3 linked regions of the Lepisosteus oculatus genome follow. The protein of the gene in region 2 interacts with the protein of the main gene of each other region in a pairwise test. Links are inferred from orthologs where the notes say so. Each region holds a gene or a part of one and is shown on either strand. Other genes may lie near its edges.

Region 1 (3,755 bases), about 9.2 Mb from region 2:
ATTGGCCTTGTGCTTTGGATCATTGTCCTGGTGAAAAGTGAAGTTTTGTCCCAGGTTTAAGTCTGAAGCAAGTTTTCCCCTAACATTTGCCAGTACTTTGCTCCATCTATGTTCCCATCAGTCTTGACAGTCTTCCCAGTTCCTGCTGATGAAAAGCAGAAATTTAACATAAGACTGACACAACCATGCTTGACAGCAGAGATAAGGCTGAGTGTAAGATGCACTTATTTACAATAAAATTGTATAAATAAATAAAATTAGGTTAGCAGAGGATTGGAATACTTTTTTAATCATTATTTCTCCATTTTCCTTTCGTATTATCTGTTTACTTCTATTTACTCTTTGCTTTTTGCTTTGAATGTGTGGAGTACTTTCTCTGCACAAAAATATTAATTGCCACTTTAACGTGTCATGACTGCAAGCTTTAATGCAGACTGTGAGACTGGAGCAAAGGTCGGAATACGTTTGCAAGGCGCTATACAGTTGTTTATTAACCTTAATAGATTAATTTGATCATTACATTCATGAATTAACAGATGATTTGAATTTTAGCACAAGATACAATTTGAAGTTGCTTAGTTTCTTTATGAATTGTGATTAAACAGTAAAGGGACATCATTAAAATGGGTTTATGTGACTGCACTTTTATTATTATTAAAGCACAACTATTAAATACAGATTGATTATAATCCTGGGCCTGTGCAATAAGTACTGTATAGTTTGCCTAGTACCTTATTACAAATGGTTCAGTGAGTGGAGTTGACATCTTAGAATCTTAGTTAGAGCTGTTTTCTAATTGTGTGTGGATAAAGTGGTGTGAATATGCACAATGGAAGAAAAAAAAACTCCTGATTTGTCAGTACCAAGGCCCGGCCTGTTGGCACTCTGTTGTGTTGATCTGAGAGAGTGTAACACAGGCTGTCCTGGAAAAAAAAAGGAGAAAAAAAAGCTGGCAGGGGAGGAAACAGGAAGTGAAGCTTGTCATTGAAGGTTTCAGAGGGTGATTAGAAGCTGCAGCTGGGCTATCTGGTGACACCTTACCAGGGAGTCGAGACTTGCAGACAGCATCTCTGCGGTGTCAAGCACACAGAGGAAACATGTAAGTAGCCAAACCAAAAGAGGTTTGTTTGAAGATACTTCTTCCCCTTTTCTGCTTGCTCCTCTGACACAGTTGCATCATAAGGGATTTTTTTTTGTGTGTGTGTGGTGGAAAACCTTTTTGTACATGAAGAGCGCTACACCTGCAGTACTGTGCATTAGCAGAGTTCGGATGCACTGTATCAGCTGTAAGATTTTGACTTAAGACTTCTGAATCCGCAAGAGCATCACACCTGACGAGAAACCATCAAGCCACAGAATAAACATTTCTGTACTCACACGACAGATGAGTTCTTACCGATTTTGTAATAGTAAGCTGTTGTTTCTACACTACGTAGCATTAATAAAAACTATGGTTATTTACTTTAATGAAGAACTTTTTTGCGAGCAGCACTCAACTAGGATTATGAAATTATTAAATGAAATCCGATGTGTCAAGTGCCATTTCTGGGTTGGGCGACCTGTGCTGCTTTTTTACTGTAGAAAGATTCTACAGGTGTGCAAGCTCAAAGGTGTTTTTTTTTAAGAGGTGCTTCACCTCACATTGGACAGGTCTAATGCAGGATTTACGTGCCTTGTTTCCAATGTGTCTATGCGAGGCCTTGTCATTTTACTCTGCCATTCTTTTAACTTTTCCTGTGGAGGCTGGCGTTAATGAGGACAGTAGCTCTTGCTGTCTGACCCAATTCGCTGAAGACTATTGATTATTTCAGCATTCCTGTCTTCAAACGCATAAAAGATGTAGGGCTAGCGTACTAAGCCAGATATGGGAATGATCTCAATAGAGTAAGGGCTATGGTATAAAAGTTACATAAATTATTATTGAGGAACAGGCGCATCATGCTTCTATGAAATTGTCAATTTCGAAAATAAAATTTATATATACTTCTAAATGCGTGATGTGTTTCAATGCCTGAAATACATTTTAAAGGAAGGAATATTTTAATATCGTAACCTGTCAGGTAGAAAACAGGTAGCAGTGCAGATTGCATTTGGTATAATATAATGGGTACATTAATATTATTTTTGGATGTTCTAATGTAATGTATGTACAGTTACAGTTAGGATGTGTCCACTAGTTTATGAGCCAAACCCTGATTCATACTGGAGACAGTACTAATTTACATTTGGCCACTCATGTCCATATTTTCACAACAAAACTAAAAACGGGCAAGTATTTAAAATTATTGAAAGTGAATAAAATGTTTTTCACGGAAAATACGCACATTAATGTACGTCTGCATTTCAGAGTTTCTGCAAGTAATGGGGTAAGAAATATTTACTCAAGCCTGGCTGCAGTACCGTTTATAAAAATTGGCAATTCATCTGTGTGAGTTTTCAAAGTGAGAATGTGGGTTGCTATTATGAACTGGGGATTACATCATGTGTATTTAAAATGAAATATTTCTAGTATCTTGATTTAAGGAGTTCACTTCTGTCATTAAATATAAAATAGTGGCAAGCTCTGATCTTGTATAACTGTTATCTTGTAAAACCGTGCTGCGGTTTGTAATGGATTTCCAAATGCATAGATGTGAAACTAAAAATAGTTTGAAAAGTAATCTTGTAACAAAGCAGGGATAGCAGTGTGTGGCTCGGGGATTTATGTATACTTTTAGGAGTTATTTTCAGCTGTAATGAGTCAAGCGTAGCTCGTCTCAGTCCCTGGATTTAGCACCAGTCTATTGTGGGGCGATTTTCAACCACAAAGTCACACTTAACCCTCTTACTTCTATTTGCATCATTTCGAAGCAAGCTTAGGTGGCATTTCCTGTACCAGATGTAAAGCTTCTTCTAAGAATTTGTGCATTTTAGCTTTGATGGTGAGTGCTATAATTAAGAAGAAAAGTTTCCAGTTCATTAAAAGACGTGTTTTCTGCAAGGCAATAAAAAGACAGAAGCAGAGCAGCCCACATATTTAGTTCCTTATAATGCGAGGCAAAAAAAGAACCTGTTAATTTCTTAGTGTAATTATTTTTTTTTCTTCTTGTCGGTTTCTTTGTTCATATTTAGAGCGGTTGTCCGTTATCATTTTGCAGGTGGTAGTTTGATTGATTATGTTAATTTGTGCACTCCGGCTGTCTGGCTGAAAGGTGAAACTGGGCCATGAGACTGGGCCATGTCAGCAGCTGACTGCAGCTGGGATCCCCTGAGTGGAAGGGCACAGTGCTACACAGGCTAGGGTGGGCTTATTCAGTCAGAGCCCCCTCAGCTCTCGGCATCACAACGCCCCCTGCTGTCTCCTGGGCTCTTGCAGTTTGGCGGTGCTGGTGGTGAGGGACGTCCAGTACCTCTCCTCCAATCAGTGCTGAACTTCCAGTACTAGACCGTGTTGCCTGTGAAGTGTGAAACAAAACTAGCATCTTGAAGGCAGGCAGGTTGGAGGAGTCAGCCCACGGTTCCCCGTTCTCCCCTTGGTGCAGCTTACAGGGTTTCAAACCGTGGGTCGAAAAAACCCCCGGCCATCTGCTTCAAAATTGGGAGGGCACAACAAAAATACTGGTCAATTCAGAACTGAATAAAAAAAAATGTAAAACAGTAAAAACTTTCAGGGTGAAGCCATTGATATGAACTGTACAGTAGGTATACTGATCAGTGTGTTGCAAGGGCAAAATCTCTCATTGTGCCTGGTTTGCAGCATGGCAGGTCATTTCAGT
Region 2 (3,755 bases):
TTCTGGATGCAGACAAATATCTGCAGGGTCTGTAATGTTTGCAGTTACGTTATTGTATTACTTGGAAAGAAATCTTCACAACAGGCCCTTGTTCCACTTCTTTATTTTTTCATATGTGATGTTTTGGTTTAATTTATATTACATTTAAAATAAACCTTTTTTTTTAAGTATCACAGTGTTGTAATGCAGTTATTAAAACAAGAACAGTTGTGTTTTTTATGCACAATGCTGATTAGATTATACACATACGTGACTATCCATTCCATCACAGATGTTAATGCATCCCTTTCACCTGTTTGGCAAAGTAATAAGAGTTATTGCCATTTTGGTTGTTGGACATGAATGTGGTATCTCATCTAGAGATGTTCTCATCTAGAGAACATCTAGAAAAAAAGGTAATCAACTTATAACCAATCAATTTAAAGAAAATAATTCACCAACTACACAGTACATCACATTGTGAATTAACTAAAAGGAAAAAAAATGTGTTATCCTAAATGATATCCTTTCTGATAAATAGACAAATCGGAGCCGTGCGGTCAGAAACGTGGGGGTAATCCATCACTTTTGTCTACTGGAAATTGACGTTTATCCGCATTTAAATGCGCTTTAATCTCTTACTACTGTTCACTGAACTGCAGATACTTATCGAGTGGTTTTCATTTCCACATAAGCTCTCCATTTTTTTTCGTTTAAATTTCCCGTCAAGTGCCTTTTTATAGTCGAGCAAAGAAATAAATTCTACTAATCGATGTTTTCCCATTGAGATACCAGAATCCCCAGATTCGTATACAAATACTTGTGAAATTACACATCGTGAAGAATTCAGCACTTCAATCTAAACAGAACATATAGTTTGTTTACTTGTGATTTGTTTTGAAATCACAAGTGAATTACAACGTTATATTTGTCTTTCAAAAATGTACACGCATACTTTGTTGCCGGACTGAAATATGCACCTTGCTATACCAAGCTGACACATCACTAAAGTTGTCTTTTCCATGGCAATGTCGCTTTGTGATGAGGTCATACAAATGCCGAGCAGGCAGTTTCGGAATCAGTGGTTGAGACTGTTGAAGTATATTGCTTATTGAGCTCTTAGCATTAAATCACTTTTTATTTTTTAATCGATTCATGAAACATGGCAACCGAAGACCCTTTTAAGGTAGGCAAATACCGGCAATACGACCCAATACCCTGCCAGCATCGCGCTCTTTCAGCTGCTGGTAATAAGCACGTTTTAACGTTACAAGAGTGTACAAGGGTAATGCACCGTACCTTTACGAAAGTGTGAAATTCGCTGCCATTATGCTAGCCTGTCAAAGTTTTACAAATTTGGTCAACCTTAGCCTACTCCAGACAATCTTTACATCTAACCCACCGTAAGTCACTATCGACAGTCTCAATCAGATTAGTTTTTTTTTTAGTTGCAAGCAAAACGTCATATCTAGAAAGCCAGATTTTGATATTCGGTACCTTTCTTTCCCTTGAACCAAACTCTTCCTTTATCGGACAAACGTCGCACCCGAGAGGTCAAATACTGGTTCCTGTTTGATCTGTCTGCTAATACATTTTCAGGTTTCCTCGCTCAAAGGAAAAGTGGCTCTAATTACTGGAGCCAGCTCAGGAATTGGGGCAGCAACCGGCATTCTGTTTGCCGAACTGGGAGCTTTGCTGGCGCTTAATGGGCGTGATGTGGAAAACCTGACCAAAATAGCCCAGCAGTGCACAAATGCAGGAGGAACAGAGGTAAAGAGCTGATTTGTATATTATATATTTCTGTTGTGGCCCGTCCGATCCTCAACAGTAAACACCATCAAGCAAATGAGGGCTGATCTTGCTCAATTGCTGCAGAAGTGTTCCTGTAAAAACACTACCTAAAATACCCAGACGTTTCTTAGAGAGATTATTTTGGAAGGAAGGGGCTAAATCTCATGTTTCAGGACTGCTGATTAAATTTAACCTGGCTCGAGTAAGACGGGCAAAGAATTAGGCCTCCCTCACAAAATAATTTCCTAATAAAAGTAACGGCCCAGGGCTTTTTCCAGAAGAAAACTCTACACCCTGGAAAAGACAATATTTACCTCTCTCTTACTTTATCTGTTGTCTGTAGCTCAAGAAGAATACTATTCCCAAAGAGTCCCTTTCCCTAACTTTATTATTATTAATATAATAATAATCATGATGGGTGAAAACCAAGGGTAAATTTGGCCAGGATGCCGGTGTAACACCCCTACTCTTGTCAAGAAACTCCCTGGAATTTTTAATGGCCACAAAGAGACAGCACCTTGGTTTTACGTCTCATCTGAAGGATGGCACGTTTTTACAGTGTAGTATCCCTGTCACTATACAAGGTGAGCGCCCCCTACTGGTCCCAATAATGACTCCTTCCAGCAGCATTCCCAGGAGTCTCCTATGCAAGTACTGACCAGGCTCACGTCTGCTTAGCTTCAGCAGGCTGCTAGTTGTGAGTTGCAGGGTGATATAGATGCTGGCTTAAATTTAATTTAAATGTTTAAAAAAAGGTTTGACTCTTCTTGCAATAATCAATACACCATACAACCTGATCTGTGCAATGGAGGCCTTTAAAATCCTGCCCAATAAAGCTAATACTTATGGACAAATCCACAGGTATCTGTACACTGTCTCATAATATAAAATCATCTGAGTACTACACGTTGATGTAACGCAGCACCAAGTTTCAAGCATTGTTTATAGAATTATTTTTCATTGTTAATCCTAAGACTAAGGAAAGAAAAAACAATGTTCATTATTCACCTCTGTTAGTATAGCCTAACAAGAGAACAGGTAAAGGTTTATTCCATGCTGAAAGGAATAGCAAGGAAGAGATGCAACGTTTCGGCGATGAAGGCTTCTTCAGACGTAGAGGCTCCACAGCCGAAACATTGCGTTTCCTTTTCAGCATCGAATAAACTTTTACTTGTTCCTTTGCAGCTTACGCATGCTGATGCAGCTACCTACTCGAACATAGTCTAACAAGAGCTCAGATTCCCTTGTGGGAATGAGGGTTAAAATAACCTGCACCTATAATATACAGTATAACAATATCTGAGAATATTTGGGACCATTTCAGAACATGTGGGCATATTTGGAAGGTTCGCCTGTAAATTTCGATTGTCTCTTTATGAAAGTGTTGGAATCTGTGTGAGACTTTACAGGGAGACTGAACCACTCACAGTCCCTGAATCTGTGTGGTCCTCTTTAGCCACTGTTAGTGCCTGGCGACTTGACGGATGAAGACACAGTGAGGAAGACTATCGAGAAGACCATTGCTCACTATGGGAGACTGGACGTGCTGGTTAACAGCGCTGGGATCCTGGCCATGGGCAGCATCGAGACTACAGACATGGCTCAGTACGACCGGGTCATGAACATCAATGTCAGGTAAAGAATGAAACCAGCTTTAGTTAATTAGTGTGATCTGATATTTGGCAAAATGTAGTGCATTTTTATGAAGCTTATCCTTTCAGCACCTTGATTATTAAAGGTGAACTGCAGTCCCAGTCTCTCAGACTGGTTATTAAATTTCGACAACACAATAAATTCATTGACGTTAAAGAAAAATGTTATACATTTTGACTTACAGTAAGCACAAAATTGTGAGCTTTGTGAAAGTACTGTAAGTCACCATGTTATCGCAAACCACAGGTTTCGCTACATGCGCGAGTTCTCACAAATGGCAATATGTGGCCCTTCCTGTTCACTAGTCACTGTAATGACTAATGTAATCTGAT
Region 3 (3,755 bases), on a different chromosome or scaffold from region 2:
ATCATTGCCGGTAAAAAGCAAAAACCAACTTTGGAGGACTTCTTTATTTGTTATTTTTCGCCCTTTCATTTTTGTTCTTATTAGACAATACCAAAAAAAATTTTTTACAAAAAATAAATTCCTACTAATATTCTTAACATCCAGTGCCATTCAAGTATGTCTCTAATGGGCCCCAAACATTCCTATACTCATGAACCTTCCCATGTAAATTATATTAAATCTCTTCAAATTGTACTTGTTATATAGCCTCTTTAGTCCATTTAGTCCACCTTTGATAAATCACCAAGGATACATGTAATGGGAGTAAGTGGAACTGAGATATTTAGGTGCCTGAGAGCTTTCCCCACTGTGGAGGTCCAGAACGACTGTATGTGCTGACAATACCATAAGTGCAATAATGATCCTTTATGTGTGTTACATTTGGAACACATTCCTGTATTATGCCACTTCATCTTTTTCACTTTTTTCTGGGGGTATAACAGAGTCTGTTTAAAATTTTGTACTGAAGCAGTTTGTTATGTATAGCTCTAAATGGATAACTAACATTATGCCACACAGTATCTGGAGTCAATGTTGAACTGAAGCAACACTTGTGCAAAAGAATTACCATGCTTGTTTTCCTAGAGCAACGAGCACACCAAATGAAGTTTTATGCAGGACAAAAGAGTAGGGAATTTAATGTTAAATTTACATACAGTATAGCACTGTAATATGGATAAACACTCACCTTGCCGTTAGTCGGGGGTTCTTGTATGTAAATGTTACTCATCTTGGTCCCTTATAGCTTAAAACAACACAAAAGCCCCACACCTTAAAAAATCGCCCGCGATGTTCAACAAAAATATATAAACTCTTTTAGATTCACACTGTGAAAATCCCACAATCAACCTAAATTGAACGAACAGACCACCATGTTGCTAAAGTATAAAAAAAAACTGGCTTAACCACAATAAGCAGGGGGTAACTAAAGAATATTAACGTTTAAGAAGTATTTTAAAGAACAGTTTTAATATTTAATACATTTTTTAAATTAGAAAGTTTGTTCGTCTCTATTTATGTGTAATAAAATGAAATGTATTACTTAAAGCATCATTTTAAATGTAGCCTTTGGTTTAGCCCTGTTTTCTCAGTGTTACACACTAAATACACCCCACGGAAACCATGTGAACTCCGCTGATTAACTTTTCATTCCTCTTCTTTTTCGGAAATGTGATGTTGTAATTTTGGAATAATGTGTATGTTAAACGTTATACAAGTTTGAAAGTTAATAAATTATAACCAGACAGTAACTAAGCCTCTGTAGTTTATCTGCAGTGTACTTTGTGTAACTGTGAGTTTAACATGAGTATTACAGTAATTCAAAATTATCGTCACGTCCTACTTTGCTACGTTCATACTTTTTGCTTTAAGAGAAGCAACAACAAATTGATATTATTTATGTTTTTTTTGTTTTATTACAAAAGTCTAAGATATTTAATATGATGTAATACAACAAGACGATGAAAGTGATTCTTGTTTCCTATGGGAGTGCATTAATTGGTGGAGCTTTCGGGAAGTTTTGAAAGTGAGGTATACGCTCTGAATTTCGGAAAGCTTTGGTTTTATTTTACGGATATCTTTGTCTCGCCATGGCTCTTCCAGGTTGTTATCTTTCGAATCTTTGAAAATCATCTTGTGTGAATGCGTGCTGACAGTATACGTTTGGGGGGGAAAGCAAATTAAGGTTTGGGGAAGATACTGTCTCTACGCCTGCAGTGAGAATTTTCTAGCAATCCTGAGCTACAGTAGCTGTGTTTTGGGACTCTGAAGTACAGCAAGACGTACTGTAACTAAGGATGTTCTCAGTTTAATAGATATATTTTTATATTTTAGTTTTCATCTTATAAGCTAATTCCAGAGTTTGCCTAAAGATATCTGAGTGACTGGAAGCATACAACAAATAAACGTAGTCTTTCGTGTGTTCAGTGCAGAAGTCATGTATAGTATAGAATGAATAACAGTAAATGCCTGGGGGTCCTTGTGTATTCTCAAAATCTGAGCACGCTGCCATCACGGATCAGAGATTTTTTTTAGGGTGATCATTAATAAGAATGTAAAAAGAGGTTGCAGACTTTAAGCGGCCATTCGGCCCCTGTAACGCATTTGGCAGTCAGTAGCTGAACCGAGGCTCTCGTCCGCTCATTCCTTTCAAGAATCCGGGTTTGTTTAGTGTAAAGATATTAACTGAAACTGTTTCTGGAGCCGTATCAGAGTATGATTGTTAGATTTACAGTTCACTACGTTAATTGGAGTTTAAAGGCACTGTACATCGAGTGATTATTCACATTATGTTTATGTTTTGCTTAATACGCTTTTCATTACTACAAGCTTTTACATCCTTTTTTAGGTTTAGTTAGTATAAGACTTAAACTGGTGTAATTTCAGCATCCGTGAGGGCTGATTTCAGGTGTGTGAAGAGAAATTTCTGTGTCGTCTGCTGGCATTTTAGGTCCATGTGACTGTCTTGTTTTGGTGTAAACTAGTTATTTTCCATTGATAGACTAGCTGTCACTGCCCTGTATAAGTCTGGAAAAAACATTGTTTAATAAGGGAACAATTTAATCACACTGGAATTACGATTCTGAGATTAGTATATGGTCTAATGTAATGTATCAAGGTGCTTCCGTCCTAAATAATTCTAAATTAAGTGCCTGACATTAGCTAGGTAATGTTAGGTATGTTTTTGTTTAAGCCACTGTCTGTTGTGTTCTGAATTGGGTGCTTAGAATCTTGGGCTTCTTGAATAAAGTAATCTGATAAATTAATAGTAATAATAATTATCTTTCAGATCATAGCTCAAGGCTTTACAAAAGAACAACACTGCTATTTTACCCCCATAAACCCATTTTCCACAGTTCTGGAAAAGATTTGAGAGAGTTTCTTGGCTGAATTAAAGTTAAAGTAGTCTGGTTTTGAGATTAAATGAGTGCAGTAGTGCTTGTCTCCAGTTGTAGTGAGATCATTTAGAACTTGAGTCACATCTTAATTAAAAATAAGGAAAATACTAAGTCTTAATATTTTAGCACAAAAAAGTTCTGAATAAATAAAACTAAATATAAACATAAATCTACATTATTTTTAACCAAGCAGTTATCAATTAAAGTCTAAACAAGACTGATACATTAACTTTGCAGCGCTTACAAAACCATGTGTGGCTGTTTCTTTTATGGTGTATTTAGCTCAGGAAGTCATTTTCTGTCTTCTATTAAATTTTTAATAGAACACATTGATTTTGAATTGTTACTCTGAAAGGTTGTACATATTTGCTATTGACTCATTACATAAAAACATGTTGAATGTCACAGTACATCACAGAGATCTTTGCTGTAAAGAAAGACGTTGCCAACCCACCATTGACTTGATGAACTGTCGTTTGGTTTTTCAGATAGTTCAGATTATATCTTTACATGTGCCATTTGTAGAGGTTTTTTTCATTGAAGGTTTTAACCTTCATTTTAGCAATTCTGGTTTTGAGATTAAATAAGTGCAGTAGTGCTTGTCTCCAGTTGTAGTGACATCATTTAGAACTTTAGTCACATCTTAATTAAAAATAAGGAAAATACTTAGTCTTAATATTTTAGCACAAAAAAGTTTTGAGTAAATAAAACGAAATATAAAACTTATATATTATTATATAGTATAATATAATCATAATCATTCTGAGAAATGGTCCTGTAGTGACTTACACACAATAATTTTGAAACATTTGATTCAGC

What was found.
Region 1: the proteins of 3-oxoacyl-[acyl-carrier-protein] reductase FabG (region 2) and nek6 interact in binary tests that used the Homo sapiens proteins (3 or more experiments, as listed by UniProt). The two-hybrid records come from large-scale screens. The link is inferred for Lepisosteus oculatus from reciprocal best matches to the Homo sapiens genes HSD17B14 and NEK6.
Region 3: the proteins of 3-oxoacyl-[acyl-carrier-protein] reductase FabG (region 2) and srek1ip1 interact in binary tests that used the Homo sapiens proteins (3 or more experiments, as listed by UniProt). The two-hybrid records come from large-scale screens. The link is inferred for Lepisosteus oculatus from reciprocal best matches to the Homo sapiens genes HSD17B14 and SREK1IP1.

Annotation. Positions count from the first base shown.
Region 1 is NC_090719.1:13,838,174-13,841,928, reverse strand, and holds the start of nek6 (serine/threonine-protein kinase Nek6), read left to right. Parts: upstream 1-1,001; 5' UTR 1,002-1,097; coding exon 1,098-1,099; intron 1,100-3,755. UniProt on the Homo sapiens protein: Protein kinase which plays an important role in mitotic cell cycle progression. Required for chromosome segregation at metaphase-anaphase transition, robust mitotic spindle formation and cytokinesis.
Region 2 is NC_090719.1:4,647,817-4,651,571, forward strand, and holds the start of 3-oxoacyl-[acyl-carrier-protein] reductase FabG, read left to right. Parts: upstream 1-1,002; 5' UTR 1,003-1,141; coding exon 1,142-1,165; intron 1,166-1,578; coding exon 1,579-1,749; intron 1,750-3,226; coding exon 3,227-3,405; intron 3,406-3,755. UniProt on the Homo sapiens protein: Catalyzes the NAD(+)-dependent oxidation of L-fucose, yielding L-fucono-1,5-lactone, which rapidly converts spontaneously to L-fucone-1,4-lactone. Can also act on D-arabinose and L-galactose, with lower catalytic efficiency. Does not use NADPH.
Region 3 is NC_090698.1:27,601,766-27,605,520, reverse strand, and holds the start of srek1ip1 (protein SREK1IP1), read left to right. Parts: upstream 1-1,529; 5' UTR 1,530-1,628; coding exon 1,629-1,641; intron 1,642-3,755. Other genes in the region: spliceosome-associated protein CWC27 homolog, read right to left, coding at 728-769. UniProt on the Homo sapiens protein: Possible splicing regulator involved in the control of cellular survival.